4 linked regions of the Drosophila melanogaster genome follow. The protein of the gene in region 1 interacts with the protein of each later gene in a pairwise test. Each region holds a gene or a part of one and is shown in the gene's direction. Other genes may lie near its edges. The genes, in order: CG8813, CG7856, Lim3 and CG9624.

Region 1 (7,236 bases):
AGAGGTCTTCAACTCGCTGATCAACGCGGAGCGTCGCGACTACGCCCACATCTTCAACGGATGCTATGCAGTATTACTCCTGATCGTGGTGGTCTTCTTCCTCATCTACGGCGTGGAAGTGTTCTTTAAGCTGCGCGGCGGTTTCGTTTACGACCAGACGGGCAAGATTCTCGGTCCCAGCGAGGCAATTGTGAATGCCTCACAATTGCATCAGTCGCGATTCGGACTGCTGTTTCAGGCCGTGATGCTAATCGTGATTGTGGGCTTTCTGACTTCCGAAACTTTGGGCGACTTCTGGAAGACCAAGTGAGTAGAGGCTTTTAATTAGTTTTGCAGCTGCCAATTTGACAAAAAGCTTTTCTTTTCGCCACCACAAAGGGTTCCAGTTAACTCGCGCAACTGGCATGACATCATTTTTCGCATCGCCGAGATCGGTGTGGCTCTCTGGTTTCCCTGCTGCCTTTGGAACTCGATGGCTCCTGAACAGCTCTGGATTCTAAATCCTCGCAAGCTTCTATCCCGCCAAATTGATCCGTCGATACCCACTCTAAATGCGGAGACCAACAAGCTCTCGCCCGAAGAGGGCCAGTCGTTTTTAACCAAAAAGGATTGCTGGATCTGTTACGACTCCGACAAGCCAGAGCCCCTCATCCAGCCCTGCCGCTGCACTGGCGACGTAAGTTCGGTGCACCACGAGTGTCTCAAGCGCTGGCTGGTGGAGAGCTGCAGCAATTCGGAGGCGCAGTTGTCGTGCAAGGTCTGCGGACATCCCTACGAGATCGAAAAGTCCAAAAAGTAAGTGCCATTTGCAAATAGGGAAATGGGTCACCGCCACATAGCTATCAGTTAGACCATTTTATAACTGATGGTAAATAACTGATAACACGACACTCTATTACAGACTCGAATGGGACAAGGGCTTCACCATTCAGCATTGGTCCAAGACGGTTATATTGATCACCTTGATGTGCGTAACCGGTGCCACCGCCTGGGTGGTGATCCAAATGTACGTTGATCCGCTGGTGCGCGTGATGACAGTGGGCATCGCCGTGCTCATTGGCTATGTGTGCGTCAAGTGTTTGGGCGAGAACACCGTGGTGGCCTATCAGCGGGCCAAAGTTAGCTCAATCAACATCGTGACCAGCTCGGAGATGGAGAAGTTGCACACCATTTGCGAGGAGGTCAGCGCCAGCACCTCCGCAGAGGCGGTTCGGGCGGGAGCTGCGTCCTAAGAGGCTACCACACACATCAGCTGAACCCCCACAGACAAAACATTACTTACTTACTTACCTAGTTTAGCATGCGTTTTGCACAGGTTTTGCTCAATGCTCAATTATTAGTTTACACATCACACGCGAGGTGGGTCCTAGCACCCGCCTTTCTATCCTCAACCGTGTACATAGGTTTAAATCTCTAGCGAGTAGACAAGAAGAGTAGCGAAAAGCGTTTCGATTAACGAGTGAATTTCGTCTCTCAAATTATCATGCAGATTTCCAGAAGCAAAGTGTATTACAAGAAGCCAAATATTACGTAGAATAAGTGTAGGTCAGTATCAATTGCGAAAGCGAAACGGAAACGGAAACAGAAACGAGAACATCCTGAGATTATGATTACGAACGCGTTGCCAAGTAGCCTGAAGAGCGAATAAGCGAGAAGATAGTGCTTAGATGCGCCAGTGAGTCAGTCCCCATGCTGATTTATAGTTTATAGTTTTCTTTTATTTACACCTAAATTATGAAAGCATTTTGATTTCCTTCATTTCATTATCGGTTTCATCCATGGATGCAAACAAGAAGCAAGCAAAACACGAGTACTTGGCGAATATTAAATTAAGCAAACAAGTTTTTAATTTGTACTTGATGGAAATACGTTTCTTATTAACCTTTAAGTTTACTCCTTAAGAAACTGATTTGTATAAGCTGCGCCCATATATACATACACACGAACATATATAATATATATATATAAATTTTATTGTAGTTACTACACAAAATTTGTCAAAGCAAAGAAAAACAAAACAAAATCCACAAAAGGAAAGAATCCAACATACAATTTAAGTTACCATACAATTTTTGTGATAAAACTAACAAATAAAATACAATTTATAAAACGCAAACTGTTTTTTAAGTGTTTTCTAAAAAGGAGTCCATTGTTGTATCCCCACCAGTAAGAATGCATTTCAAGTAGTTTTCGTTTAAGCCTAAACTTTATTTTACACTTATTTACTACAAAATATATGTATTCATAGAGCCGCTTATTATGCGTATTAAAAGCCATGTCAAGTTATGAATAACTTTTTCGCAGCATTAAAGCAGACTATGTTTTCCTACGCTTGTAATTTAAAAAGATCAACAACAAAAGAGGTTAACCCAAATCGCAAAGCGTAAATGCCAGTCGTAACAATCGCAGTGTTAATTTAAATTCACAAAGAATAAGATCCAAGCTGGAGCCAGCCATGCACTTACTGATAAACAACCACTGTGCGTGCACGCAATAAATATTTCATAATATTCAAACAATGGCTCCAACATGTGGTTAATAAACTAGAGAAATTTTGTAGATTACACTGAATTATCCTAAATTTAGACTTAGTTCTTCAGCTTTGGCGACGCTTTGCCTGGTTCAAGCTAAAATTAGAAACAATTCAACTAGTAAGTCCAGAGTTGGCTAACGGGGTTTGAGATGGTTGGTTTGGGTGTCTGTGGATGGGAACGGTTGGTGGGTGAAGCACAGGTTTAAGTGACGACGGCCGATCGCTTGTCACGATTCTTTCCACGTGTTATGGAGCGTGCCTTGAATGCAGCAGCATTCACAAGGTGCTGCAAAAGCAACAAATATAAATATATTAAAATTTGAAGCGAATGTTAACACATTTCAATCAACTTACCCGCTCCAGCTTGGTCGGCTTGACCTTGGCGTTTCCATTGATGCCTGTGTTCGTGGGTCGTGGTCCCAGCTGGAAGATGTCACGGATGAACTCGTTCTCCTGCAGCTGCGAGGTCATCCCGGGACCCATGACAGTGCACATGGCCGAATACTGATGATGGATGGACCAGGAATCTAGTGTCAGCGACTCGGTACCGAAACGAATGCTAATCTCTGGGGAAATGTCCTCCTGCAACGAGATAAAAAAAACTTTAAAATCAGGCTAGGCTACGAGCAAATATTCTAATCTCATTTCGTACGATTTTGAAATGTATCACTATTAGTTTCTCTATCAGATCAAACAGACCAAATTTCTCGTTAAAAAAAAAAAAACTACTAAAAAAAATTGTTTTGGCCAATTAGTTTTGTAGATTTCGTTATCAAGATGATGCTATCAACCTATCAGCACGACTATGTCCCGCCCAGTGCCAAACGGTACGAGTTTCTAACGCGGCCCAGGGGCGCCGAGGCTCACAGTGGTCCGCAGGTCAAGGAGTGCGAATGCGTCGACGAGTCCAAGATCATGATGCCGCCGAACGCGTCTAAGGACTGTGGCGGCGTCGAGTGGACGGGCATAGCGCCAATGGGAAAGCTGGTGGATCCGCGTATCATACCCACCCAGCTGACTCAGGACCAGGTGGACAAGATGGCCTTCTCCGCGGAAACAGATTGCTTTAAGCTGCAACCCAACCGCTTTCTCAAGATCTTACGTACAGTCTACCCGGATCTGTATGAACGCCTGAAGGTCATGCCCAAGGAGGAGCTGAGCCGCAGGCTGGAGACCAACCGTATGAACACCACCTATCAGATCGATTACTGTAACATGAACGAGTACCCGGAGGGTATTTATGAGAGCCTAAAGACGGAGGACGAGTCCAAGAACGCCAACAAGCTGATGAGCGAACGTGGACCCTGCAACGAGTTCCGCTCGAACGTGATGAACGAACTGGAGCGGGAGGCGTCCGCTGGCTACGAGATGTCTAGCGACGAGTGCCAAAAGAACTACAAGCCATTCAAGACCAGCTTCTCGGACTCCTCGCAGACCATCGAATCCGGCAGCAGTTCGCACTGGAACTCCGCCCCGACCACATACCGGAAGGTGCCGACCTTCAGCGAGTACATGGACTCGATAAGCCGGAACGGCTGCGTCATCATGCGCAACAAGTTGCACGATCACTCCAAGTGCTTGGCCAAGTACTGCAAGCACGAGCTCAAGTTCACTTGCACTGACATGAAGTAATCGTCCAAAGACTAGTGCATCTCGAGTCAAATAAATAAATGTAATCCCTATTGTTTAAGCGTAGCACTCGTGCAAATCTTCAACTCACCTCCAGGTATCGCAGCACATCACGGAAGGTGGCACGCTGGGCCTTGCGATCGCGCTTGGCGCGGTACTTATGCGAATCCGTGGCCAGCTGCTTGACGGCCTCCGATAACTCAGCGATGTCATCTTCTAGGAAATCCTCTTCGTGAGCACGTCCCGACTCCAGAATTAAAGCAATGGTCTCGCCAGCGGCCATGCGGACGTCCAAATGTGTAGATTGCAAGAGACCCAAGAACTTCTTAATAGATCTGCAAAGTTTAGTTTAAACAATTATAGCAATGGGTTTGAAAGTTAAATGGAACTTGCTCTTCAAACTTACGGAAACATGTTTTGGCCAGTGGTCATCAACGAAACAAAATCCCCCGAAGGTATAAGTGTTAGTAGAAGCCCCCAGGCGTTCAAGGCCTCCGCATGGAAAGTCCCAGCTTCGGCGGTGACGGATACCGGTGTCTTGTCATCGCCACGCAAATAACTGCCTGCGAAGATGGCCTCGAAGCTCTGCATCAGGTGTACCAACTCCCCAACATCCTCGCAGCCCAGGAAGCTCAACAATCCCACAGCTGTGCAGCACTTGGCACGGGCATCGAAGCCCACGGACTTGTCCTGAACGGTGTTCAACAGGAATTGATTCATCGCCTTGGATATGCCTTCATCCCCGCCCATTTGGAGCACCAGCAGGGGCGCGAGTCGTGCGCCCCACACCTGCTCCTGGCCCTTGCCTCGACGGATGCTCTTCTCCACGAAATCCATCAGGGTCATCTTGCGGTCCTCCACGAAGTCCGGCATGTAGCGGTGCATGAGCAGTTCGCAAATCGCTTGCAGAGCCTGCACACGTGTCTGGGCCGACTTCTCGGTGGCCTGTTCCAGGGCCTTCTCGAACTTCTCCTCGAAACGCTCATTGGCCAGCTCGTCGGTGGCCTCCGAGGATGCGACTTCGGACATATGAGAGTAAACGCTCACATTGTCAAAGGACTCGTCCTCAGAATTGGAGTCATTGGTGCGGCCTGAAAAAGAAATCATTTGGGTAATTAATAAGGTTTTTTTTTGAAGTATTTTGCTATACTCAGCGAGTTTTTCAAGCATAATTCATAAATATTTATTATGCTAATGCGACCTGTGAGCCTTTTTCAACAGCTATCGTTTTGAACAATATGCTTAATTGCACATTTTAGGCATTCAACGAACCCATTGGAATGTAAGCTAAGCATTTTGCAAATGGAAACTCAGTGAATACCAATGTAATGATTATTCTATTTTCAGAACCCCATTTGTATTCCTTGTTAAATGGAGTAAAATATTGGGACCACCCTCATGCAAGTGCCCACATTTCCCTTCAGTAACTGTCAAACCAGCTGAAAAGAGGCATCAAGTTTTGCCGTCTTCGAGCAGCTTTTCATTCAATTGCTTGTGTGCTCATTTAGATGGGGAAATGTATATGTACTGAAATTAGAAATTCAATTACACGCTTTGCCACACAGCAATGACCTTCAAGAAAAACAGCTCGGGAGCCGCAAATGTTGTGCAACAAGTTTTCTATCCATCTTTCGATGTTTCACTTTGTTTGCTGGCCAACTGCGTCGAAGAAAACCCGTCGTAGAGCACAACTTTCATTGTGGCGATTTCCCAGTGCCTGTTTTCAGCTTTCTATTTGGGGCAAGGTAGTTTCCGCCTCGTTTTTTGTGTTTTTTTTTTTTTTGTTTTGCCTTTCACAAAAGCTGCGAGCAAACTACAAACACAAAAGCATGCGGTAACTGCGGGCTAGAAAAACGAATCAAAAGCAGTGGAAAACAGCTGGTTTTGCTTGAAAGTTGTTTGGATTAGATTCGGGCGAGTAAACCATCTGTGTTTTGAGAGCGACTAATGCATAACACAAAGTTGCGTAAGTTTTTAGGTCACCCATGAGGTATATACTTAGATGCGAGGAAAGTTCCCCGAAGAGCCACAACTTCCGCTTCTTTATTTTTAAATTTAATATTTGTAAATGATTGTATGATGAGCCTATAAATACCAATTCGGATATTTAACTATATAAATAGGTACAGCTTGAATAATAACTTAGCATAATAGAGCACTTAAATAGAATACATAATTTGATACGCCCTACGAAAACATACCCACTGATACCCTGCACTGAGGTATTCGGTTATAGGCGTGATTCTGATAAGCTGGCATTGAGCGTACACATATACATATACATATGTGTACGTATGTTTTTCCACGAACAAGTATATTTATATTTATATACAGTTGTGCTCAACATAGAAACAACGCAGAAACTTAAAACCTCCTCCTTTGGTGAAATGCAGCTATTTAACTTTATATTACATAATTTGGAATTTTTGTCAAAATTACTATGGTTATATTGTTATTATTGGTGGGCAAAGCTGTATAAATTTACATATGTATACGTATGTATATATATTTTCAGTGAACCGCTGATTACTTGTTGTTGCGCAGCCAGCTGAGCGCGTGAAGCTTTTGGTGCCAGCACAGCAACAAAACGAAAATAATTATTTCATTTCGAGGGTATTGACAAACAGGTTGCAGGCAGCGAAGCTTCCTTCGTTTGGAAGCCAACGAAATACACCAAACAGTGCACGGTACTCATTAGTCAGTGCATGACTAATGCAAAGGTCAAACGAAAAGCAGCTGTGAAAATTCACCTACCCTCGCCGGCTTTTGTGGGGATATACTATTAAGTCTATTGTTCAGATGTGCGATTTAATTCGTTTATTTTGTAAAAAACAAGAAAACCATGAGGTTAAGATGGTAATTAAACCCAAAATGTTGCTACTAAAGGCAAAATAACTAATTTTAAGCCTATAAAGTCAATTGTTTCAGCTGGAAGTTCACACTCGTATCCAATAGATATATTATACGCATTTGGATACGTTCAACCTCGCATTTTTTTTCTGTGCACACCCACACACTCTCTTTTCTTTGTGACTCACCTCTGCCTGCTGCTGATTTCTTGTTGCGTCGCGGCA
Region 2 (8,706 bases), on another chromosome or scaffold:
ATGATGACCAGCGTGCCGTTGCCCAAAACTCCCACAATGAAGATGAGCGTGTACAGCACGGTGACAATGTACGTCTCCGGGCGGTCCAGCACGGGCACATACGGTACTATTCCGCCGTCGGCGCTGGCATTGTGGCCCATATCCAGTGCCAGACCCTCCTGCTCCTGCTCCAGACCTTGTCCGGTTGCCAGGAGTCCGCTGTCATTGGCCCCGTTGCCGTCGCTATCCGCCAGCCTGGCTGCCAACGTCTGGCCAACGTCCATCAAGGAGGCGTACATGTGGGGAGGAGGGAGCTGCTCCTGGGCAAGATGTCTCAATGGTGTTTCTATGCGTGGCGTTTTATGGCCTCGCTTTGCCCACTTCCGTTTCCGTGGGTCTGCTGCCGTCCGTCCGTCGAAAGCCGAGAGCCGAAAGCTGCCGGTTCTGCCTGGTCCTCCGTGCTTATGTCGATGATGTTGCTACTGGTGTTCCCACGGGCTCTTGTTTTATTTTGCACATTGTGTTTGGCCGTGACCACTGAGCTCGCTGGGGCGGTTGCCCGTCAGCTTCTGCATGACTTTCGACAGTTGGCGCCGGAAGCTGTTAGGGGAGAAAGTGAGATAGGAAGAGAAAAGAGAGAGAGAGAGAGTGGTTCCGTCAGTTCAGACTAATTCAGTTAAACTGTAATCGGTGTGCATTTGCCTGTTCGTAAAGCACACGCTGCGCTGCGGCTTATCTACGCAGGCAAATGCATTACCTATGAAGCGCATAAATAACACGCATACGCAGCGTGTGTAACGGGGTGGGTAAAAAGAATTTATGACTCGGCATCTGAGGCTGAACCGTGTCGTGTACATCGTGTAAAGCCTAAGTGCGTATCGGCATAATAAAGAATCTCCTTAACATGCAATCGCTGACCATGTGTGCATTTAACACGAATTTACAACGCCAATAATCATAAATTTCGAAATATTCCCCCGGCCACTATCTGCTGTGCGGCAATCAGAGTCTTTCAAACATCCAATTATTTGTGGCCCTCCCTCCTACCCTTCGACAGTGATTATCTTTCACGCTCAGTTGCCGTTTCTAGACCCGCAATCCCACTAATACGAAAACATTCGTGCGGAAGCCAATACTTTCAAGTCGCAATCAAATGCGTTTATCCCCTAAAAAGAAAGCAGCGCTGAGCCTGACGCCCGACTAAGACAGACTCTAAGGCGGGTTTATCTGGGCTGCTGTCAGCTTGCGAGGGTGTTGTCCCGATGCTGTTTCAATTTCGCTTCGATTCGATACTAGCTATCGTTGCCTTTTGGTGAGCTGCCATTGATTTCTTTTTCGTTATTTATTTATTTTGATTGTGGCCTACGAGTGCGTGCGGAATGGGAGCCCATTCGCCAAATGAAATTCCATCAAGTTTCAGCTCGTGAGACTATTTCTGGAAAATCTAATCAACCAGGCTAAGTGAAAGTGCATTCCCGGGAGCTTTGTGGAGTCAGGCGCTTCAGCTGCTGACGAGGTGGTGCATTCGAGCGACATTAAATCACTTATTTACGGGAAATCACCTTGCACATGCTGAATCCGCAAAATTAATTTGAATCTAAATAATGCATCAGCTATGACCGGAGGTCATGCATATATTGCACCATATATTGCAGAGGGTACTCTGTCAGAAGTTTACAACGTAGTAAATTGGAAACATATAAATCATATAACATATAATGTTATGATTATACACATATCGTCCCATGTTCCATTTTCCGTCCATATGAACGCTGTGATCTCGGGATAAAAAAAGCTAGAAAGTTATGATTTAGCCAGCAGGACCATTCCTACTGTCTGAGTAACGGATATCTGATAGTCGAGGAAGTCGACTACAGCGTTCTCTCTTGCTTTAAATACACATATTTGTGTTTATTGCAAGGGTATCTAAGCTTCGACTTATCGGCGCCATCTTCTTTTCAGGTTGTGTATTGCGTTTTATCCGTGGCCTTGCCGATGCCAATCTCTTTTGCCGAGGCATGGGTAATTTTCGGCAAATAGAACTCTTGCCCAGGCTCAAAAGTCTTAACACATGTCTTGGGGAGAATTGGAGTAGAAAAATTGTAACACATGGTTAAGCACATTTAATCGTTGGGGTCTTAACCTTTTAATTTTATCACCCGCTCAACTTAACATATTTAAAAGGGTTAGGTTTTGAAAGATCAACTGTTTTGGCTTAAAGGTAAAATCTGCTCTTTTCTTGACTTATTCATCTTGTCCACTATAAATGCACTTCGCGAGTCAACTAAAAAAAGAGTCCGAAAACGTCAAATAGCTGCTGGCAACAACAAAGAATATGTCAGTCTTTTTTCTAAATCAGGAAACTTTTTCTTTCCTGTATCAAACTTTTGGATAGGTTTTTCACGAGCGAAAGCGGAAAAGTTAAATTTTCCGCTTAGTCCTAGCCGTAGACAAGCCATTTCATTTAAGAGGCCATCCCATGGGATCACTGGGCAGGCAACAGCCATCAACAAGAGAAATGATTAAACTTGACTGACCAGACACGCGCCTTAATGTCGTCAATTGACCTCAATCAATTATACACAATATTTTTTATTTGACCTTCGTTTATTCCATTAGAGTTTTTTTTATTTGTATTAAAATTCGGCGATGTGACTGTAAAACGCATCTGAGGCAGCCATTTGGCCTAGGAATAACATTTTTTCATGATTTAGCGTTGTTGTACGAGCTGAATTTGGTATGTGCTAGATAAAAACCAGCCGTTAAGCAATTTCAAATGTCGGGACACGGGTGAAATAAGCATTTGCCACCCGCAGTCAGTTCCGAGCAGGGGATGTCTTGGATGCCCCGTTGCGAGCAACCGCTTAGCAAAAGGCAAAGCCAGATATTATATGTTATCACCAGCGATGTATTACTGCTTCTACAGCACAGTGACTCAATATACAAATAAAGGTGAGAAAAAAATGCGATTCTCCTTTTTTTGACTTGTGCAAGAGCTTTTGATTTTGGAAACGAAACGTAGCCCAGAGAGACAGGGTATGGCGTTCCGTTGTATTTCGTGTTAGATAAATCATAAAGCAAAAATAATTTAATACACTTGCGTGCCCTGGTTGTAGCTCTGGCGACGAGGCGTATGTGCAATGCGGCGTGTCGGTTAATCATTTGCTTCTTTTATGAGCAGCCAAGCCGAATAATAAGCCTCAAAGAAAAGCGAGCTTAAAGGTGCACCTCAAACTCTGTTAAATTCACGGCCTATCACGACGGCACGACCCAACGCTCAACGCCAACTCATTATTTCCCCTGCAGCTCTAATTAGAGTCAAATATAACTAGGGGGCCTTGAGGACCCCGTACGCTAGCCTTGGCCATATTTAATGCGAGCTGAAAGGTCCGCGAGTTATGCAAATTTGCCCCGCCCACCGAATGCTCCGAACATTGACAAAATTATGCGCAATCGCGGGCCAGTCTCTCGGCTACCAACTTCCGGCGACAAAGTCAAGTCATGGATGGACATCCTGACCTCGCCCGCGGGTCCAGCCATTAGTCGTCATTAAAGATGATTGAATGCGAGCCCCGCTTTTGCATTGTATAAAAGGGGCACACTCCTGGTGACAACAGGGTAGGTAAAGTTGCCTTGGCGTCAGTTGGCAGTTTGGGAAAAGCCTACACACTTAATATTTCGATAGATACACTTATTTCGCAATCGTAGAAGATACCACAAATCTCTCTTCCGTAAATTATAAGTATGTCCAAGAGGGTGAGCATCATGTTGCCCGACGAAATACCTGCGGCTCCGTCAGGCAGCAGGAGGAACCCGATGCCCAGCCGCACACTCAAAAGTTCCATTAAAAGTGGATCAAGCGCTCGGACGCAACCCGCACCGCCAGTGTTCGTGGTTGTCAACCCGGAGAGCAGCCAAAGCTCGCTTACCTCGGGTCAGCGGAACAACACCAGCACGACCAGCAACAGTTCCCTTAACCAACGAAATAAGGAGCACTCCGCGGCGAGGTTGTCAGTAACCGAAGATACGGCAGCCCTGGACAGCAGTGCCTTGCTTCAAGGTGGATCCTCAAACTCTCGTGATACAGTTAACTTCGATTCGACCTCCACCTCGATCAGGATGTTCCTTAAGAACACAGTGGGCCTTGTCAGGGCAGGAGAGTCCTTCACATCTGTAAAACATCTCTTTCACAAGTTCATCAAACGCAGCGGTTCTGTGCCAAATTCCAAGCGTTCGTTGACATCCTCCTGCTCCCAGGCGGTAGATGAGGAAAATCCCTATATGAGCAAGTCCAATGATACGCTTCTGACGGACTCGCCCACCCGCACTACTGTGCCCAGCACCTCCCAGATAACGCCCACCTCACATTTCTCCAACTGCTCATTCAATAACACGAACTACGACCTTTCCAACCTCCTCTCTGACATCACCCCTTTGACTGGCTACACGCCAGTGGGTCTCACTGAGGAGGCTGACTACCGAACAGACACTTCCGCAAACACCGCATTGAACAGTGTGACATGCAATTTGGCGAGCTCGTCGGAGAATCCTTTGGGAAGCGGATTCGACAACAGTCCCTCGAAGATTTCTACCGATCAGGAGAAGATAGCGGACACACAAGGACGTCCTACTTCCAGAAATCGCTTTAGCAGCAAATCTTTTCGCCAGAAACTTAAGACCTCGCGCTCTAGTTCACCCAGAAAGTCGCCCAAGATGTCACCTCGAAATAAGCAGTCAGCACCTGCAATGGAACCCATATTTGCAATGGTTAGTTCATCTGGGCCTAACTCTTCTGAGGGATCACGGCGATCGAGCAAATCGAGCCTGAGGCGGAAGCAAAGTCCATTACCCAACGTAACTGCCAAAATCTCGGCCACCTCTAATTCAAGAGCGGACTTGGCTAAAGCGCCCAAGTCCAGGAAAGAAACCACCGCCCGATCAAACCTATCAAGAAAGAGCTACCGCCGGAGTTCACCCAGAAGCCGAAGTCGAGGTTCTCGGGCAAACGCCTTAGAGAGCCCCCTTCAAAAGAGCGAGGACACCCCCGACAATGTAGAGTACGCCTTCGCTCTGGTCAGCCCTGAGGAGGCGGGGAACAGTCAGCCTGAAGAAAGTAGTGCCGGTGTCGAGGATGCCTCCTCCAAGTGCGAGACATACCAAAAGGATTGCAATTGCCACCATTGCCAGGACATGCGTCGGGCGGTCAAGAGGTCCGACTTTTTCAAATCTCCCGAGGGACAGAAGCGGCTAGAGGCGAAGCTACTGGCCAAGAACTTCTTCATGGACCTATGCGTAGCGTCAGAAGTGCGCCGACAGGCTCAGTCCGATCTGCATGGAAAACGACGTCCTCCATCAGCGCGTCTCAGTTACCCGGTGAGCATCTGTGGAGCGTGCAGGCTGAGCGGAGGCTCGCTGTCGTTGCATTGGATCACCCATGACCTTGACAGCGTAGACCACTTCGACGTTTTTGTGGACAACGTGCCAAACCGTAGTGTCTACAACCGGCAGGCCACCTCCACCGTGCTCGTCGACGTGAACACCACCGAGACGCACACGCTGCGCCTACGAGCGGTGCCGGAGCGTGGGAGCCGTGGTCAGGATTCCTCGGTGGACAAATTCATGTCGGAGGTGGCGGCCGGGCATATGCGTCACGTCAGGCAGGGCCAGCTCTTCGCCACGTGCTTCGCGCACCTGGACGCCCGGCCGCAACAGCGTTCACTGGTGGATTTCTGGACGGACAGCGAGTTCTTGTACATGCCCACCCGCGAAACTCTTACGCCTTCAAAGGCTCGCTGACTGGCGAAAATAAACTGATTTATGAGCAGCAGTCCGTTTTGGGAGTGGATATGCGGCAGGAACAGCTGCGTGGGTGAAAATTGATTAGGCTAATTTAGAAGTGATGACCAATCGGCGCACTAAACTCTCAGTGCAAAAGCAGTGGCCCGGCTCCCACCTGCACCACGTTTTGCGAGATATTCAAAACGAATCGTGGGCCTGGTGCGGCCATCAGTCAACGAGACATGGGCGCTAAGCATCCCGCGCGTCTTTATCAGTGGCTTGCAGGCAGGCTGGCTTGGCGTGGGGGGACTGGTACTGACGAAGGCGTTTCGCGCTGATCTGTCAGAGATTTTGGGCCGCAAAGTGGCATGATTAATTATTTGGCAAATATTTGGATTCCGCGCTCTCAGCTCAGCTGGCTTCACCATGGAAATAAGGAAAACCAAAAATATGCGGACTGGCACTTTCATAGAGGAAAGAACGGGCGAGAAACCCAAACCGTTCAGTATTTTAATTAATTTTCACTTTCGTTGGGGACTAGTGAGCATTCCATCGACAATGTGATGGACAGCTGTGGCAGCAGTGCCAACAGTGCTCCCTCGAGAATCAGAATCTCCCGTCCACGATTCACTGGGCGCGTTCTGATTGAAGCGTTTTGCATTTACTTTGTTTTGGTTTCCCTTGGCGCGTGATTGGTTCCGAAATAAACAGGGGCCTACTTTTATTATTTGGATAATTTTCAATTATCGCTGTTATTTCCCGAAGTCAGCAGTTCATGCTTTCAGCCCTCTCTAGATATATCAATACGTATTTATACGTACATATCTACATGTTGCCACGCGGCGAAAACACAGTTTTTATGGTCGCATCTCGCGGCCACTTTCAATTACTTTTTATTATCAGGTCCACGTTCCCCCCTCAACGCATTTTTATGTGCTGGAAGCAGTTGGCTAAATATTTTAATTGATTTCATGTGGTCCACGCCAGCCATTTGGCCAGGACTCAGCCCGATCAGAATGCAGTGTTTTGTAAATATTTGCTTTCTCGCCCAGACATCCATGTCCGTGCCCCGAGTTGTTTACGGTATACTGTTTATGGGAAATTGCGTTGCTTAATGTCAGATCTTCTAATGGCCATGATGACGGTAGCGATCATTGCTCAGATGCGGAATCTTACTTAATCATCTTCAGTGTTTTCCTTACATATTCGGCAGTATCTATGAGTATTTATGTGTACTTTGACAAGACGTTTTGGCTGTTAGAATATGAATTCTTAATTATTGGACTGGGCAAGGTCTAGTAGCTAACTGCAGCAGAAAGTGTCAATTGCGATCAGGTAATTTTTACTATAAAAGTCTCACGGGTTATTCAAGTTGGATGCGAGCATGTCTTTCTATTCTATCAAGATCATAGTAGCACCTAAGTTTATACAAAATATGTATATCAATTTGTATTACGATTTCGGTCGAGTACTTTAGAGTGTTTTATCTAATATAAACATGTAGCTTTCATTTTTATTTCCCCCCCATTCAAAAGCTGTTTTGTCATTTGAGCAGTTAGACAGCCGGTTGCGGTTTGTGGCTTAGCCTAAGTCACTTAGCTTAAGTCACTTTTGATCAGCCCAAAATAAATTAAATTCCAACAGAAGAGAAAAAATGCCGGCTAGTAAGTTTCGGCGAAGCAACCACATTTAGCTACACGTGATGGAAATAAAGCTATTCCACACAATGGGGCACCCTTGGTCTCCTCGGAAACATCGAATTTAAATTAGAACCGTTATGCAAATTAATCATTTGTTGCCTTACTTAATTTTTTCATTTTCCTTGGAATCGCATTATTTGCTAACTAAATTGGAGCATGCGAATCGCACAATGTTGGTCCGAAAGAGGTGGGACCAATGCGTGAGACACAAAAAAGAATGAAAGATACACGATACAAAGGTCTTTCTTGAACCGCTTCTCGGGATTATTTATGGCGAGCTGTTGTCCGTGTCCAGGCAGGTCCAGCAGGATTGAAAAAGTAAGAACTGAGAACGATTTTATGATAAACGAGTCCAGTCAAACTCCCGGCACAGGAGGCCGAATGAATGAAACCAAGAGAAGGACAACTGGCTTGTTAGTCCACATCGGGTACGGGTACTTAAGCTGGAATGAGAAACTCTGCTTTCCGACCAGGTTCACCTGCCCTGGGCAAATACAAGATGGGACCATGGCCCATCTGTATTCTGAGGAGCAACTTTTCTTGTTTGACTAACCTTCACCGTGTCGTCAATCAAAAATTTATTATCACTCGACCTTAACTAGTTGATTCCGATGTGACAACACTAGCAAATGCATGAGTGAATTAGGGCCTTCAATAAATCATTCGGCCATTCCAGATTCATTCAAATTTACAGCATTAGTAGCCCATTCAAACAATCACAGTCGATGATTGCGCGGCCGTCAGATATCATTTATCAAGCGTCAAAGCGTGCATATTATCGCTCAGAGGATAAAAGGCAGCAAATGAGTTATGTCTTCTTAGAAGACAGGTGAGTCCTGCCTCCTGGACAAAACTCGAGCGGCTTGGCAGACAGTGCACGCGTGAGAGCCTCAACCTTCATTGAGCATGTGTCGGGTGTCAGGAATTGACGGCTCGTCAGATTGAATCGTGCGCGTCGCTTCCTACGCTTATCTGCTTCGCTTATTTAATATCCTGATTATGCCTTGTCTTGCTCCCATCGACACAGCTGACTGGAGCGGTAATTGAATTCCATTCTGCGTCAGCAGGCTGCATCCAAATGACACTCGAAGACAGGACTCGAGCAGCTGTCATAGTCTTGCACCCGTAAGATATCCTTGCGAACAGTAACCAGGAAACCAGAAGGCGTCGACGGCGTCGTACCACAAAGCATATCAACTAATTAAGAGTCCGAGCTTCCTGGGCAAGAGGTGAGCCCAGCTAATGACCG
Region 3 (8,955 bases), about 16 Mb from region 1:
ATCGCCGGTGACGGCTGCCTTTTATACTCCGACTTCTCTGGACAGCCTCCAGAGCTGTCGGTTCAGCCAATCTGGCTAGTTTTGAGAAATCATTAAAAACCGGCGCAACTGACTTGTTTTATTCTTTTGATCTAACTAATTTAGCTTTGATTCGTTGATACTTTAAAATTCAAATGCGAAGTTTGTTCAATTAACATAATCAAAACATTAAAATACTGTTGAAAGTTTATAGAAAGGAGTGTGTACTATTTTATACTACTTACACAAAGGGGTATATAGTAATAGGTTTATTCTTTTATACGAGAGTGCCATTCAAATACTTTTTTTTTCAATTTAGCTATTAATTTCGAAAATACCTATATCCGATTGCTCTGCACAGTGATTTGTGAAGCGTGTCCAATCTGCGAGATTAGGGAACGAATCGGTCACCGGGATTATAGTTGGGTTCGTATATTTCGTGCCATATATTTATAGAAAAACAATTACTTGGCAATTTTCTTAATCGTTGAGTGCCTATCTCCTGAGCATATTTATCGCATAGTTCTTTGAATCGATAAGGATTTCTCAAGTGTTGCGTTGATTTGGCCAAAAGATTTTGTTACCAACGACACTCGAACAATAGCTGGTGGGAAATCACTTTGGGTCACAAACTGTTCCCACTTTTTTGTTGGTCGGTTGGCGCTCTCTTAGCCCCTCTCTCTTAGGCAAATTGATGACAGAAATTATAGTTTTAAAACCAATTGATTATTGTTGGTTGTTATTGTTGTTGACTCTAATGAACAATAATTGTAAATTCACGTGTGAATAATTTAAGGCTCTTAAAATGAAACTCTTTCAAATTTGTCTCTTTATCACAATAAAAAGTAAAAAAGTTCAGTATTAATAGTTTTTAATATATAACGATCATAAGCTAATCAAACGTGTATATTCGCTATATTTATCCGAATTTAATTATCATGGCAACACTTTTCAGATACAATTAGTTTTTTTAAGTAATTATATGAAATTTAAGTTTTAACTGACCTTTTTTTTTATATCATTTTTCTAAGAAAACACAATGAAGAAAGTTGCTTATGATTGTTCTTCCACATTAATTCATTCACATTCACGCACGTATTTAATATGAATATTCATTTAAAAAAAGGAGAATCTGCTGGATTTTTTCACCATTTACATATGTATATAGCTTACCCAACTGAATCCAAGGACTCCGATGCCCGCGATCAGCAGCTCACCGATGATGGAGCCCGCCGACGAGGATGACGGATAGAAGGCATTGAAGTAGGGCGATTGCCAGTGGGTCAGACCCGGCAGGATGATGTTCTCCAGATCCTTGAGGACCTCGCGCCAATGATCGGGCTGCTCGGGAATCTCCTTGGGCAGCTGATTGATCACCGCATATGGAGCCGTGCTGGGCAGGACATCCCTGTTGGAAGAAACACAGAATTTAGAGGCATCGCTCCAAGGATAAAAGTCCAGACACACACCTCTCACGTATGCCGCTCAGATAGTTGATAAGGAACTCGATGGAGGCATGGCCAAATTCACGGAACTCATCAAAGTCCATGATCCTGGTTAATCCAAAAAAAAAGGCGCGATTTACTTTGGGGGGGAATTTGGGTATTTAGCCGCTCCGCTGGTTCCGCACTTGTTCACCGCTGACATTCGAATCTACAAATGAGCTGGCTGCGCTTTAACCAAGTCTCAATGAGCTCCGAATCTCGAGACCCTCCAATAAAAAGTTTGGGGGGGAACTCCAACAACGTTAACAAAAATCCGGCTATGTGTGAAAATGTGCAGTGGCAGCAAGTTTTTTGTCTTTCTGACTGGCCCATTGCCGAGATTTATGTTTATGTAACTACCAAAAGACACAATAGCGAAAACAAGATCGCCGGACAAAAGTTAAAAATGTCGGTGAAGAAAATTTAAACAAACTGCTTGTTAATTGTCTATTAAAATGTGTTATCCAAACACTAGCACTGCTGCTTACTAAATCTCCGCCATCCCCCCCAAAACCCACTGCCGATCCGGTTCCATATCATCACATCATCAGCAATTAACCGTCCCAAGTCGAGCCCATTTGGCAAAATACTTCATGTGTCTAACCATTAACGGCTCCATTAGACAGACGTCTGCGACAAAAGCGTTGGAAAATTTGAAAGTCAAAGTCGATTTGGTAACCGCGGAAGTGAAGCTCCGCCTGGGATGCCATAGATTGGGATCGCGTTGGATTGAGTGCATCGGTTTCATCAGCCATTTCCATTTCCATTTCCATTCACGATCAGTTTCAGTTTCAGGGTCACGCTGCATTTTTATGCTCTTACCCTATATTTTTTTATAATCGGTACTAGTTGGGTTCAAGGGTATGCCGTGTTTTCGTGTTGTTCCGCACGCGTAACGAAAGCCCAATAAGAAAATGCTGAATGTTTAATAAAGGAAATATGTAATATAGTTTATACAGTTTATAGTTTAGCTTCTGTGTAATAGTATCCAATATATATTACAGGCAAGCTGTAAATGATGATGATACAAAAGTCTTAGTATAAGTATGAAGTAATACATTTTACAGCATAAGATGGAATCATGTTTTTTTCTAATATTTATACGTACTTTGTATCTGGCATTTTATGCAGACTTTCTCAGACCGGGCATACTTTTCGAGCGACCCACGCACTCCAGCTGTTCGCGTTCCTTGCTCCGCCGCAGCGCGGAACCCAACCCACAAACGACCTTCCCTGCTAGTGTCCACTTCGGTGGGTGGGCGGAGGTCATCCGTTGGGAGCGGGGGCGTGGGGTTCTCGAGCATGGCGTTGGGGTTCAAAGTGTTTGGCAAAGTATTTGGCGCGCTCTAAGCGGCTCATAAATAAATGCGAAAACAAAATCGTTTTTGCAGACGCAACGCATTTAAGGGGTTTTCGGGACGGGTGGCAAGTATCCACTATAGATATAGGGGTTCCGAAACTACACAGACAGCGAGAATCCTATGCAGATACAGCGAACTCATGGGCAACGGGTGACTCGGGCATGGAGTAGCAACTTCCCCCCTCTCCCATCACCCTGCCAGCTTTGGGTTTTCGAGTGCGCCGGCGCTGGAACGACATCGAACTCTAGGAATAGAAGCGTATGGCCACCCCAGCCCCATTTTAATGGCGACGCTGGGGCGATAAGATAATGGCCACTGCCTGCGCATGCCTGGAAGTTCTTGTTGCTTTTGGACTCTATCGTCGGCCGATTTCCAGCGATTTTCAATATAAAGGGGCGGTGCCTGTTTTCCAGTGGAGACCCCGCATTTTTGGTGACCGCGCGCCGCGTATTGACTTGGACCTTTGAGTTAAGTTTCTCATATTTGTTTCGCCTCAGTCGACGTCGCTGCTGACTTTTAAGTGCTGTTTACTGTTGTTTTGGGGCCAACGAAGGTGTCGCGCTCGACGTTGGTTGGCTTTTTGTTCTACCCACTGTGCTGTTTTCCTTTTTTCATTTTTTTTTTGCCCCTGCACTTTTGCAGCTCAAGCTTCTTGAGGCAGAGGGAAACAAAAAAAAGTTTCCACACCTTCTTTTTTCGACGAGGCTAAAGTTTTTGCGTTTTACAAATATTGTAATGCTCTTGGAATTTGGACTTTTCGGGCAAATGGGCATCGCCAGAGAGCGACACACACATGCGCACGGCCTCCAAAAAGAAGCACAAAAATGTTGTCGCTGCTGGCGTTGTCGCCTCGCCGCCTTGTTGCCATTGTTGTCCTGCCATTCAGGGCTGGCTGTATGCATTTTACCATATCATTTGTGTCACATTAGGATCAATTGGTAAACACACGCCCGCACACCCGCACACACCCACAGATAGTACGTATACGCACGGCGTACCCATGTGGGCGGCCAAAAGGCAAACGGCAAACGGCACACGAATACAAGACGAAAGGCAAAAAACAAAAAAAAAAAAAAAAAAAAACAACAGCGTTAAAAGCTCGCACAGTCGAGAAAAAGCGTGAAAAAGTGCGCAAAGTAAAAAGGAGAGACGACAGTTTGGACGGCCAAGAAAATAAATAAAGATGCAGCGCGGCAAATAGAGGGGATTCCCACCAGCAACAATACCAGCCGCCTGCCAGTGTTGCCGCGTCCAGGGTTGCCGCCGTACCGTTACCGACACCGTTACCGTTTCCAGACCGTTACCTTACCGTTGGGCAAACACCGTTAGCCATGCCGCCGCCATTTTGTCGCACTGGCTTCGCATTTGCCGTCGTCGTTTTCGCTGCCGAATCCGTTACCGTTACCGTTAAAGTTGCCGATGCCGTCGCCAAAATGGCGTTCGCATAAAATCGCGTTCAAGTGCCGCAGAAAATTCAAACGAAATAATACGAAATGTTGAAATAAGAAAATTAAAAACCAGCCAATAATTAACAAAGTTAACAAATACTAGAGTTGAGTGTTAAAGTGACGCAAAAAATTTTAATAGGGTAAATGCAAATCATTTCCACTGGTTTTACGATTCCGTCGCATAACGAAAGGCTCAATAAAAAGGCTAAAATTCTGAGGAACTATTGAAAAGAAAGCCAGCTTGATTAAAAAATGGAATGTTACATTTTAACAGTAGATCCTTAAAACAAAAAAGTCTATTGAGCAAATTGTGTTGAGAAGAGTTACAAAACCAAGATACGTTTAGGATTTTAAAATGTTTAGTATATGAATTTTAATACTAACACGATTGGATTTTGTTTGTTTTAAGATTTAAGGCAATCAAAATAAGATTAATGTGCGATTTCCAACTCCCGATGTTAGCCATTTTAATTTCAATTTAATCTTAGGAGCTTTGCTCCTAAAATTAAATTTCTATAAAATAAATTTCATAGTATTTTGTTTCATTTATATATGATCTTCAATCTTAACTAGTTTCCAAATACTGAAGAACTATTAAATGGAAATTTCCGATTAATTATTCTACGTTTTAATATTTCACAAAAAATAAATTGTTTACCTATTTTGTTTGTTTGAATTTCTATAAAATAAATTATCTTCAATCTTAACTAGTTTTCAAATACTGATAAACTATTAAATGGATATTTGCTATCAAATATTCTACGTTATAATATTTCACAAAAATTTTTTTTAACTATTTTGTTTGATTTGGGAACCATTAGCAGTTCGTTTTTGATAAAAAAACCTTGGACATTGACCGTTTTTTGATAGATAGTATAGTGCACATCCGATTTGTTGTCTTCGCACGAGAATTCTCCTCGTGATAGACGATGAATAGATATGCGCCAAACGGTCTTTTGAATATCTACCGATCAGTTTGGCCCTATCCTCGGCTTACATAAAGTTTACCCGCCTTGCACTTGGTCGAAAGCACCCGAACAATAGATGGTCTAGTGTGCCCCGGTATCGCAAACAAATTCAAATTGTTCAAGTCCCTGGCTACTTCAACTGATAGAGCAGCCGAGCACTGAGCACGAGCCCAACCGAGTGGCAAGACTGGAATCTAGATTCTACCGTAGAAACCGAAACCCAAAGAGACCGCCGCGATAAGGGAAAAACAGTCAACCGGGCCACTGTTGGGCACAAACCAATGCCAGTTATCGAGCAGACAGCGATCCCGCCTAGCGGAGTCTCGTTTAGACGCTAAACGGGAAACGAGTGCGGTAAACTAACACAAAGATTGCTTTTTAAACACCAAACAGGGCTAAAGATACAAACGTGTGCCAATTGGAATAAGCTAACTGAAATATACATATAACTCATACGACGCGTGTTCAAATCGCCGGCCCCTCAGCAATGATGCAAACCCTGAAACCACCGCCACCGCTACATCATCACCACCAGCATCAGCACCAGCTCCAGCATCCGCCTCAGCAGCAGCCACATCCGCATCAGCAGCTGCAACATCCGTTGCAGCAGCAACAGCACCTGTCAGCCATGGATAATCACCAGCAACATCAGCCGCATATCCATCAGCAGCAGCAGCAGCAGCAACAATTGCCACCCACGCCGCAGGCATCTCACCTGGTCGGTGGGCAGCAACAGCAGCAGCAACATCCGCACCACAATCACCTGGCTGTCGACCAGGATGACCCAAATCCCGAACTGGTGCTCGCCTTAATTTCCAGGAACCGGGCGCTCGAGGGTAAGTGGCCAAGTCATGCCATCTTTGATTCAGTCCTGTCCATCTGAAGGCTGCCTAGGAGATTTTCCTGCACAGTGAACAAAAATGTTTGCCAAGAATAGTATATTATTAAAATGTTTGGTTTTCAAACTTAGATTACATTTTTGAATTTTATTTATCAATTTATCAATTTTTGAAATGAAAGAGAGAATAGTCGTATTTACATTAAAAAATATCGTGGTTTCTTAATTTTGCTTTAGTAAATATTGAGAATACAGTTTTCATGTTAAAACCGTATATTTCACTTCTGCTGTAAGTTAACCCTTTGAATACACTTTGCCCATGTGTTGGCCGCGCCTTAATTATGCAAAGTTTTTGTTTGCGCTCGCCCTTTGTTTTTATGAGCGACCAGAAAGGTCTTGTGATGAAGATGAGTTGGGGTTATGAGGTCGGTCTTTTAGGGTCACATAAGAGCCTTGCGGTTGGCCTGGCTTTGGCTTTGGCTCCTCCGAACTGGGGCTTAAGTGTTTTTCAATTAAATACGAAAGCTTTCCCGGTGGCAGACCACCATCTTCACATCTCCACATCTCCACATCTCCGAGCAGCTCATTTCGAATGCCCTTTTAGGAGGGCTCAGTGTTGCGGCTGCTCGGTTGGACCGCCTGCTTTTTTATGCACTCCGCCACGGAATAAATGTATGGTCCGAGGGGACTTCCTGCAATATATATAACTGGCAAAGTTCCGGCAGAAAGTTTTCTTTGAGGATATATGCATGGTGAATGGCTCCGAAGGAGATGATTTATTGCTGCTTGAGATGGCTCAAGGATGGTCAAAGGGATTTCTTTGTGCGAGTTGCTTATGATCCAGGCCTGTCACATTTATGATTTCGTTTCATACATGTGCCGCACTCGAAAATCCCACGCCAAATCAATCGGCAATCCCCGGACTAAAAGCCAGCCCAGAAAGTTGACAACTGACTGCGGATTGGAGTCGAGTCGAGTCGCGTCGAGTCGCGTTGAGTCGCGTCGAGAGTGGAGAAGATGACATCGGACAGGGACACGCGCCGCTGATGAGAACAAAGCCGTAACCAAATCCAATGCGAAACTGTTGACAAACTCCAAATGTCTCCGGCATTGTTGCTAATGCGCTGGGAATACCCGGTCACCAGTGGAGGCGGTCGTCCACTGCACGTGTGTTCCCGGCCGAAGTTTTCGGGCATTGAAAAGAGCAGGCTCAGCCGTTTAGCCATTTTCCCGGCTTCAAGTGCGGCGGGATTTCGTTTTTAGAACACGCGTAATTACAAACAAATAAATATAGATTCCTGGGTGGAAAGGAGGGGGGGGGGGGACGGATCCGGGAAACCGCATGTGCTGGGACCTGCGGATCGCCTTGGTCGAGCCTTCGCCACGTGTCACTAATATCCACTGCATCCCTGACAAAGTGCGTGCACTTTGGAAAAATCCAGTAAGTCGGGAATGACTTATCCCGTTTTTGGTAGAGGTCCAATTTGAAGCGGAACGGAAAATCTAAGGTATTCTTAGTATAATATATTATTATAATATCAGTATGATATCTTAAACACCTTAACCAACCTGAACTTTAATCATGATTAAATCTGGGCACATTTCAAGGGAAAGGATTGGAGTTCTGGTTGACTACACACTTCATGAAACTGGAAGTTTTAGTAATGTTGAATCTTGTTTCTAACCTTCATGTTTCATTTACTGCTCTTTTGTTGCAGTGTAGTTGTGTACTTTTCTCGCAGTGTAGCTGGGCTGGGCTTAGCTGGTGTAGCATGGCAGTTCGTCGGTGTCCCAAAGGACTCGAGTGACGTGTGCCGGGCGATGTGCAAAACGAGCAGAAAAATTGAATTATGCGCTTGCGGTGCTTCTTTCGAACCCATGGAACCCCTGGAACCCCTGAAAACCCTGGAGCTGCCTCTGCCTTTAGAGCCTGCCCTACCCCGAAGCCAAAGTCCGCCCATCACCCCGCCCATCACTCGTTTCGGGCAATCGACAAATATTTTGTTATTTGCACATAAACATATTTATCGAGTTTGGGTTTGGTTTTCCTTTCGCTTGTTTCAAGTGCGTACGCGCACCAGAAAAGCGAAGAAATGGGAAAACTGCGGGGAGGGTGTGGTGGAGGGAGAGGGGGAAGGGGTGAAGGGTACGACTGTACCCACGGGTGTTTTGTTTCACCCGTTCGCCCGTCAAAAATTGTGTAAATATGTTTATCATTTCCACTTGCCCGGCGCACTTAGTGCTCGGCAAACAGACGATCCACCCCGCTGCCAGGACCTCGTTGTCCTTGTGTCCTGTGTGTGACTGGAATTCTTCCCAACGCACTTGTCGCTCAACCGCCGGCCGCGTGTCCTTCGTTAGCAGTTCTTGTGTGGCTTTCCTATTAACGTGCCTACAGCCCGAACCACCCCCTAAAACCCCCCACCACTCCAAGTCCTTCTAAGCGTATCCGTTTTCGGTTTGTTCCCCCTTCCTTCCTTCCCTCTTTCCTTCCTTCCCCGCGTTTCCGGAATGGGTTCCGGCAATTGTTGCCTTTGGCTTATGTAATTTGTCATAATGTCAACAGGCGCAGATCACGCAGTACAAGCAAACACTTCACTCGAGAACTGATTGTCCATTGAAAAGGCTGAACGAAGTTTGGCAAGCCCATCATTTGTAGTCGAAAAAGTGATTAAGTAGATGACTTTTTAAAAGAGCTCAATTCGCTTTGAAGATATTGGTATGTTTTGTGGACTGGATTTGCCGGAGGTCAATATTTTTATAACTCAAAAAAATATATTAAATGGAATAATAAATCTGTATGCTGCAAATGGGGATTGAATAATTATTTTTATTGTG
Region 4 (7,259 bases), on another chromosome or scaffold:
AGAGAGCATCGCATTTGCAACATTTATTGAGTCGTTGAACGAGTTGAATGAGTTCGGGTTTGCTTTTTTTCTTTATTTTTAAACTCTAGCTGAAAGGCTCCACACCATCCGGCAAAGACTAAACGAGCATACTATACCCAGCTTAAATATTGATTTACGACCACACACACCCTTCGCTGAGAAAGAGAGGGCTAGAGGCGAGGAGAGAGAGATGGAGCGACAATGGTCAAGCGCAAAACAATGCAGGCAGTTGGAATTTGTTTTTAAGTTATGACCAGGCGAGAATTTCTATTTTACTGTGAAATCTGTAATTTTCCCCGACAGCAAGGCAAAACTTTATGAGAACAAGCATCATGGAATCCGTTTATCTTGTCTTCAAATTGCTTTGCAAGCTCTCAATAATGACTTAAATCGTTGCATAAATTGATTAATGGATTTAATTATTTTTGATCAAGAAATCAGGAATAATAATCAATAGAACATCTTAATCTTTACACATTACAATGCGATGTGAAAACTCGTAAAACATAATAACCAGCAGGTTGATAAAGTTACCTAAAAAGTGCGCCTATTCCTCTAGTCAAGTGCAGAGTTTCCAGGACCCATTGAGACCCACTTTCATCGCACCCCAAGCGTCTTGAGGATCCTCAAGCCAACTGATAGCTTTGACTGCACCCAAGGGAAATCGTAATCAGCAGTTGGGTCGAATTCGAAATTGCATTCATTAGACGGCTGTGGCTTCGAGGGAAAATTGAATGTCAAGTGCAGGACGAGGAAAATTTAAGGCGACTGCCACTCCATGGCAGTCTGCAGCCAAAAACAAGAAGAGGAATAAGACCAGGAATAAGACGATCCGATGGAATGCCTTGCGATGCAGACAAAATGCGCAAATTGGTTTCACTTGACAGGGCAAGCGTGAAAACGATGTTGTACTAGTCCTGCTCGACGCTTTTCCCGCTCGACTTGAGCCGGAAAACTTGGCCCAAGTTGCGGCAAACTTTGTGACCGTTTTGCACACGTTGCGCATTCGCCGCGTACGCCGACGCGCCCACATGGCGTATGACAAATGTGCCCTCAGCTGATTCGCAAATCGCTGGGCACGACACTAGCCATTAGAATAGATTAGAGCATCTGGGGATTTGGGACAAACCTGGTAAGCAGCACTCAGCACCCAAGGTGTTTGCAATTGCTTTGTCAGCCTCCACTATTATTGCGGTCTGTTTGCGCTGCCCTCTGGTGTCATAATAATTAAATGGAATTAATGCCTGGCCGGCCAGAAATTCATCACTCCAACCATCTATTGCTGCTATTGCTACACTGCGAAAAATGTATTGGCTTTGATGCCCTTTTATGATTTAATAAGCATATATTTATGATGCAATCTTAATAATGTTTCTTGGAATCAAGTTTAAACGAAAATCATGTTCTCTTTAGTTATAGTAAGATATTCTTTAGATTAGAAAGTTGAAAGGTCTTGTTTATGGGACAGTTTTTTCTCGGTGTTGTGGTGCGTGCCGCATTCGCTTTGTTATTTGAGGTGGCAGACTCATTTGTAAGCCAGTCCAGGTTCCCAGACCGAGGGAATCTCTTGAGGTGCCTTGAGCCAGCGCTTTGTTCGTAGGTTTTGTTTTGCTTATGAATACCCGGCCTTGAACTGAAATAAAGAAGCTGTCGTCCGACTTTCACTTCACTCGCACAATATGAATGTGGGTGTTTTCGGAAAATGTTCAAGGAACCATTCCATACATGTCCAACTACCCACGCAAATGTGTACGAATTTATGTTCTTAGTCCGCTGCCCAATTTTCGGATCAAAATAACAATAATTGAATATTTAAGTTGCTACTTTGAAATATATATTTATCAACACCTGACAAAAAACAGATTTTAAATAATAAATATTCTTTTTTATTGGTGCTGTCAAAACGGAGGATTGCGAAACAAAAGAAATTCTGCGCATATTATATTTTCACAATTTTAAAACTTTCCCAATTGTAAAATAATAGTCAATTTCGTTTTCTTATGAGCTGCTATAGCTAACAACTTGCATAAAAGATATCAACGACGAGAACATTGCACCAGTGTTTTTCGATGATTGATGGATGAACAGCACTGCATCAATCATATTTTTTTCACACTCTAGTGATAATTTAATTCATATTCAATAGTCTGATGGTGGCAAGTTTAAAAAGTCCCTTTACTTGCCTTCATATTCAAGCATTCCCTTTTGAGACGCTGAATTCCGCGTATCTATTTTTCTGGCAAAAAAATTCTGTAAGGCTTTTATTTATGTAGAGAACCTCAAACCGCAGAACGGGTTCAAAGTGCATCTACTGGAAGTTCCTGTGGCCTTTTCTCTGCGGTGTGCCAACTCAAATGCATAGCCAAAAAAAAAAAAATAATAAAAAAAATGACTCCAGTTTTACGCTCGAGTTTTGTGTATATTTTCCGTTTGATGTTGGGGCTGCTTTTCCATTTGTCGAATGCTTAAAGCCATTTGAAAATGATTGGCTTTTATGTCAATAAGCGTCTCAGTTGTCCTTACTTGTTTCAGTTTTTCTTTTGCATGGCTTTTTCCTTGACTTTTTTTAATACAGCTGACTTCGCTTTTTCTTTCGGTTTTTGCTCTCGCGGTTTTCTCTTACAGTCTGACGCTTAAGTGCCCCAATAAAACACAATAAATATACACATAAATTTTTATACACATCCCGCATATAGAGGACAACTTTTTTTTGTGGCCAGAGAGCTGGAAAAAGTCGTCGCGTTTTGATAGATGAAACGAAATAAAAAGTAAAACAAATACGGTGTTTTTAGCTCCCGGTCACTTATGGCTTTAAATTTTCCAGCGAAAGCAAAATTAAATTTTGAAAATTAGAAGGCAACTAAGGCTAACCGGATGCGATAAATCATCGTGGTAAAATTAAAATCGTGGGTTCGAATCAAAATTTCGCACTGGCGCTGAATATTAAAACAATAAGTGTTTGAACATCGAGGCGTAAAATAGGCATTCGTCACTCGGTTTTCGGTGCACCGACATAAATCTAAATTCAAACCTTTTGTGGATTGGATTTTTGCTAGGTGCCTTCGATTTGTAAGCCCACTGATTGTGTTCAACGTGGCACGAACAATTGATTTATGAAAATTTATTGCTCACATGCGGAGGACCAAAAACCAGGCGCCCGAGCGCCCTGCGATAGGCAACACTTTGTGTTTGAAATTAAAGCTGCCACGCCGCGAGCAATAAAAGCAAAGCCATAAAAGCTAATGAGCCCGAAAACTCGTCACCGTTGTCACAGCCATTTCCCCTTCGGATCTGCCACGCCCTCCTTAAACTAATATATATGTATGTATGTTCGAACTGGGGCATAATGAAAATCGCGGCCATCTTGTTGCGCCTGCATTCCGTCATAAAATCCTGTTTCACCTCACTGTTTCAGCTCATAAAATAATGGCGATCGTCGGCTACCGTGAATATACGGCATGGAATGTCGTAAAATTTACGCAAATTGTTGTTGCCGATTCCCGATGAGAATACTTACTTACCGTTATTGCCTGTGAGTGCGCATAAATTTGGCAACAAATGCAAACAAACAAGTTTAGCTATAGAAAAATGTGGGAGGGCTTTGTTATTAGGGGGCGTGCCAGTAGCTGATTTATTTCGCTGATAGGAAGGGATGTGCTTTCACTGCTGCGAATTTTTTGAAAAAAGATAATAAGCATATATACATTTTATAAATTTTAATTCTTATTTTAAGCTACGAAACTAAAGACTCTGTAAACATGTTAATATACGTAAAAATCTGTTGAAATAATGTATATTAAGTTTTGGGCTGAAATTAAGAAATCCAAATATTTCTAGGTGTATTTTAATGTAGATGCCAGCAGATTTGTGTCACCCTATTAAGCATTTGATAGCGAGGCAACGGAAATTCTGCCATAGACACACATTTGCTAGCCAGGCCAAATTACATGAATAGAAATTCCAAGTACCCAAAATGAATACCTCCGAAGTCAAACGAACGCTGGGTAGCCCCTTCTTCGACGTGCTATGGCCATTGATCCTGGACGAGAATGTCTGTCGCATCGAGACCAAGCCGGACGAATTCTTTGTGCCCCGGCAGCCCTTCAATCGACTGGATTGGCATATCTATCTGTCCCAGGTGGGCTTTCCTTTCTACATGCCGCCACATGAGCTGCGCTGCTGCAAAGGAGCCCAAAGGGAGGAGATCGAGAACGAGGATGCTGAGAATGCCTTAAACCAGGAGGTGGAGGAGCGAACGGCGTCGAATCAGGTGGACTTTCTGCGCCATGGATCCCGGGACATTAGACCCATAGATGAGGTGGTAAACAAACTGAGGATGGAGCAGGAGCGTCGCCAGAAGTTGGCGTACGACTTTGCCAATCGGCGCTATCCTTGGACCATGCAAACTCCCAGTCACGAACTGGGCTTCACCATCACTGAGGAGCTGCAGAAGTGCTTCAAGGGACCCATGGAGCTGGACATCTTGAGGGCCATTCATGATCACGACTGCAAGCTAATGATTATCGATCTGGGCACTGATGTGGACATTAAGGACTGCCAGCGCTGGATAAAGTTTCGTCCATATATTCAGTTACTGGCATTGCCTCGAACACCTCGCATGGAACGATCGCTTCAGGTGCTCAATGTCTTCCACACGTATTTGGTGGAAGAATCGGCTGATAACTCATGGCACGATGAGGTGCAATACTCCCTTCGCACAGCTTTTGTGCACGCACAGAAAAATCAGCTCCTTAAGTCCTGCGGAGAGCCATTTGTCTTCGTATTTAGTCGTTTTCGTGGCATCTGCACCTGCGATACCTATAAGATAATCCGACGGGCATAGAACAAATTCTTTCAATTAATTTCCATCAGCAGTTATTAGCAAATGCCAACTGAAGTTGCTATAGACAAGTAATTATTTATTGCTTTTAAAAAAATTTCAAAATGTAAAAAAAATCTCAAGTTTACACAAGATTATATATATTACATGCAATAAATCGAATTTAAACATCATAACATCTGTTTTAGCCCAGTTTAATACTTATTCACGTCGCCTAATTTGATACGACTTGATTTGCTCCGCCCGGCCGTTCAAGCCATCATGTTGAAGTGGCGCCCGAACAGGAACCGCTTCAATTAGGCCGCCCAATTGGAGCTGCCTTCAAGTGCAGTCAGACGCACGCTACCTGCCACTTGCCACCCGATTATTGACGCAGGCGGAAGCCTGCACCACCATTTTCCGATGTGTTGTCAAAGTGCCTCCGCTAAGTTGGCAGACTTGAGCCCACGGCACAATTCACAACAAGTTTGTTTGCGAAAAAGAAACGAAATCGAAAAATTTCGCACCAAATCTCAACAAATTATTACAAAGCTTAACAAACTTGAAACTGATTATAAAAGTTGCCGGCAGGCAGTTGGGGCAAATTGGGGGACCGGCGGCCACAATGCAGCAAAATTGAGTTGCGGGTATCGTGAAGTTAGGAGCACTTCCCCTCATTCTCTACGGGCTTCCTTTTTGTTTTGTTGGAAAAAGTTTTTTTTGGCCAAATGCGTTGTCGCTATAAACGTCGACCCACAAACATAATTTTCAATAGAAATTCACATAAGCCACCTTGCCACGCCTGATAATAGCTTTGAGCAAAACTTACGCGATTTTTAAGAGGAGCCGCCACAGATCTTGAAAATGTAAAAAGTCAGTAGAAGTATAGAAAAATAAATTTAAAAAGTAATACTTTTCTTATCAGTTCGTAAATGTTTCTTATAGCATCAAAAACAAATTGCCCAAACAAATAAGATAAATTAAAGAGTACTTGTGCTTTAAAAGCCAATGCTAGCTGTTTAAATTTTAAATTGCTGTCAGGCGTAAACTAAGCCACAAAAAGTTGTGTTTTACAACAGTTCTCGATTGATACTGAACAGTTTTTTGCTATAAAAATTGAGCAAGATCAGAAAAAGAGAAGAAAATATTTCTTCAGTTAGCTACGAGCATATCATATATATACGAGTACATACAGTGGGTTTGTAAAACAAGTCACATGTTTACTTAGATGGGGATTTTTCTCTCAACAGTAGCTCCTCTGTTAAATAGTTCCGTGGAGAACCAGGTTCTTAAATAGCTGTTAGTTAGTTGAATGATTAAAAATAGTACTAAGCCGAAGACTTGATATGGCTGGGAATAACCAGTGATCACTCAATGGGGGTGCTCCGCAATCTGGCGAGAGATCAGCTGTTACATGGAGAGGGAGTGCATCGATAGTCGCTTGTGGATTCCGATTTCGATCCCAGTTCTCATTCAGTTCCATTCAGCATTGGTTGTTACCGTCGCAATGACAATCTTGTGGCTGACCTTGCTGGGCCTTTGTCTCAATCTGAAACTCGGGTCGGCGTTGCACGTGCCGCAGCATAATTGTGAGAGGTATTTCTCCTACTACAAAGAGGACAGTGGAGCCTACATTGGCGTCTTCACGGCGCCACGCGCTGGTGTGAACAGCCTATCATGGGAGGTGGTTTTCACTGCTCACGGAACTGGTGAGGTAAAGCCCTAACAAATTACATATATATTTGTTTATTTCAACTGATTCAACATTCTGATATCCCCCCATGCAGGCAAACACTGTGGGCTCACTCATTCCGTATCCCAATAAGGAAAGGGCCTTTGAAAAGATACACAGCGGAGAACGTGGCGAGGTGTTTGTGCGTTTCACGGATTTTGGAAACGAGCTGCCCAAACTTGTCCGGGCGGAATTCAACGGCGAGGTTCTGTGTCAAAATGAGGAGTGTGAGTAATAATAAAACTAGATAGAATATCTTTAGTTAAATTACTTTGAAATAATTATTGTTACCCTAAAGATATTCTATATAGTAGATGATCTCATATAGTTGATGATAATTTTCTCATATCTTTCTTTTTACTTTGTGCAGATGATGCCCCTTCAAGCACAATGACCCGACGCCAGTCCATGTCCACCTCAACGCCAATTAGTCAAAAGTCAGCACCAAGAGAAATAGTGCGTCAGCGGCGTCCGCCGCCGAGCACACCGAGCAATGACCCCAATCCTTTCCTTCCTTCAATCATGCCCAGAATAGATTCGGACTTTGAGGAATGCGGCGTTGAGGGCTTTTCGCCTCTTCAAATCGGAGGCGACCTGGTGACCCGCGGTCAGTACCCCTGGCTCGCGGCCCTTTACGAAGGTGTTGGCACGGCTACATACAAATGCGTGGTGTCGGTTATCTCCAAA

The links.
Region 2: the proteins of CG8813 (region 1) and CG7856 interact in a two-hybrid assay, tested with the Drosophila melanogaster proteins (one large-scale study listed by BioGRID).
Region 3: the proteins of CG8813 (region 1) and Lim3 interact in a two-hybrid assay, tested with the Drosophila melanogaster proteins (one large-scale study listed by BioGRID).
Region 4: the proteins of CG8813 (region 1) and CG9624 interact in a two-hybrid assay, tested with the Drosophila melanogaster proteins (one large-scale study listed by BioGRID).

What each region holds. Positions count from the first base shown.
Region 1 is NT_033779.5:2,866,436-2,873,671, forward strand, and holds CG8813 (uncharacterized protein), read left to right. Parts: upstream 1-3,216; 5' UTR 3,217-3,310; coding exon 3,311-4,165; 3' UTR 4,166-4,214; downstream 4,215-7,236. Other genes in the region: CG2991 (uncharacterized protein), read left to right, coding at 1-306, 379-795, 902-1,232; Ifrd1 (Interferon-related developmental regulator 1), read right to left, coding at 2,736-2,819, 2,888-3,115, 4,254-4,497, 4,569-5,253, 7,201-7,236.
Region 2 is NT_033778.4:6,054,453-6,063,158, reverse strand, and holds CG7856 (uncharacterized protein), read left to right. Parts: upstream 1-3,600; 5' UTR 3,601-3,723; coding exon 3,724-5,775; 3' UTR 5,776-5,802; downstream 5,803-8,706. Other genes in the region: CCHa2-R (CCHamide-2 receptor), read right to left, coding at 1-278.
Region 3 is NT_033779.5:19,102,883-19,111,837, reverse strand, and holds the start of Lim3 (Lim3), read left to right. Parts: upstream 1-3,410; 5' UTR 3,411-4,451; intron 4,452-5,562; exon of another isoform or gene 5,563-5,672; 5' UTR 5,673-5,766; coding exon 5,767-6,115; intron 6,116-8,928; exon of another isoform or gene 8,929-8,955.
Region 4 is NT_033777.3:14,225,805-14,233,063, reverse strand, and holds CG9624 (uncharacterized protein), read left to right. Parts: upstream 1-3,918; 5' UTR 3,919-3,994; coding exon 3,995-4,864; 3' UTR 4,865-5,046; downstream 5,047-7,259. Other genes in the region: CG9631 (uncharacterized protein), read left to right, coding at 6,348-6,554, 6,628-6,799, 6,943-7,259.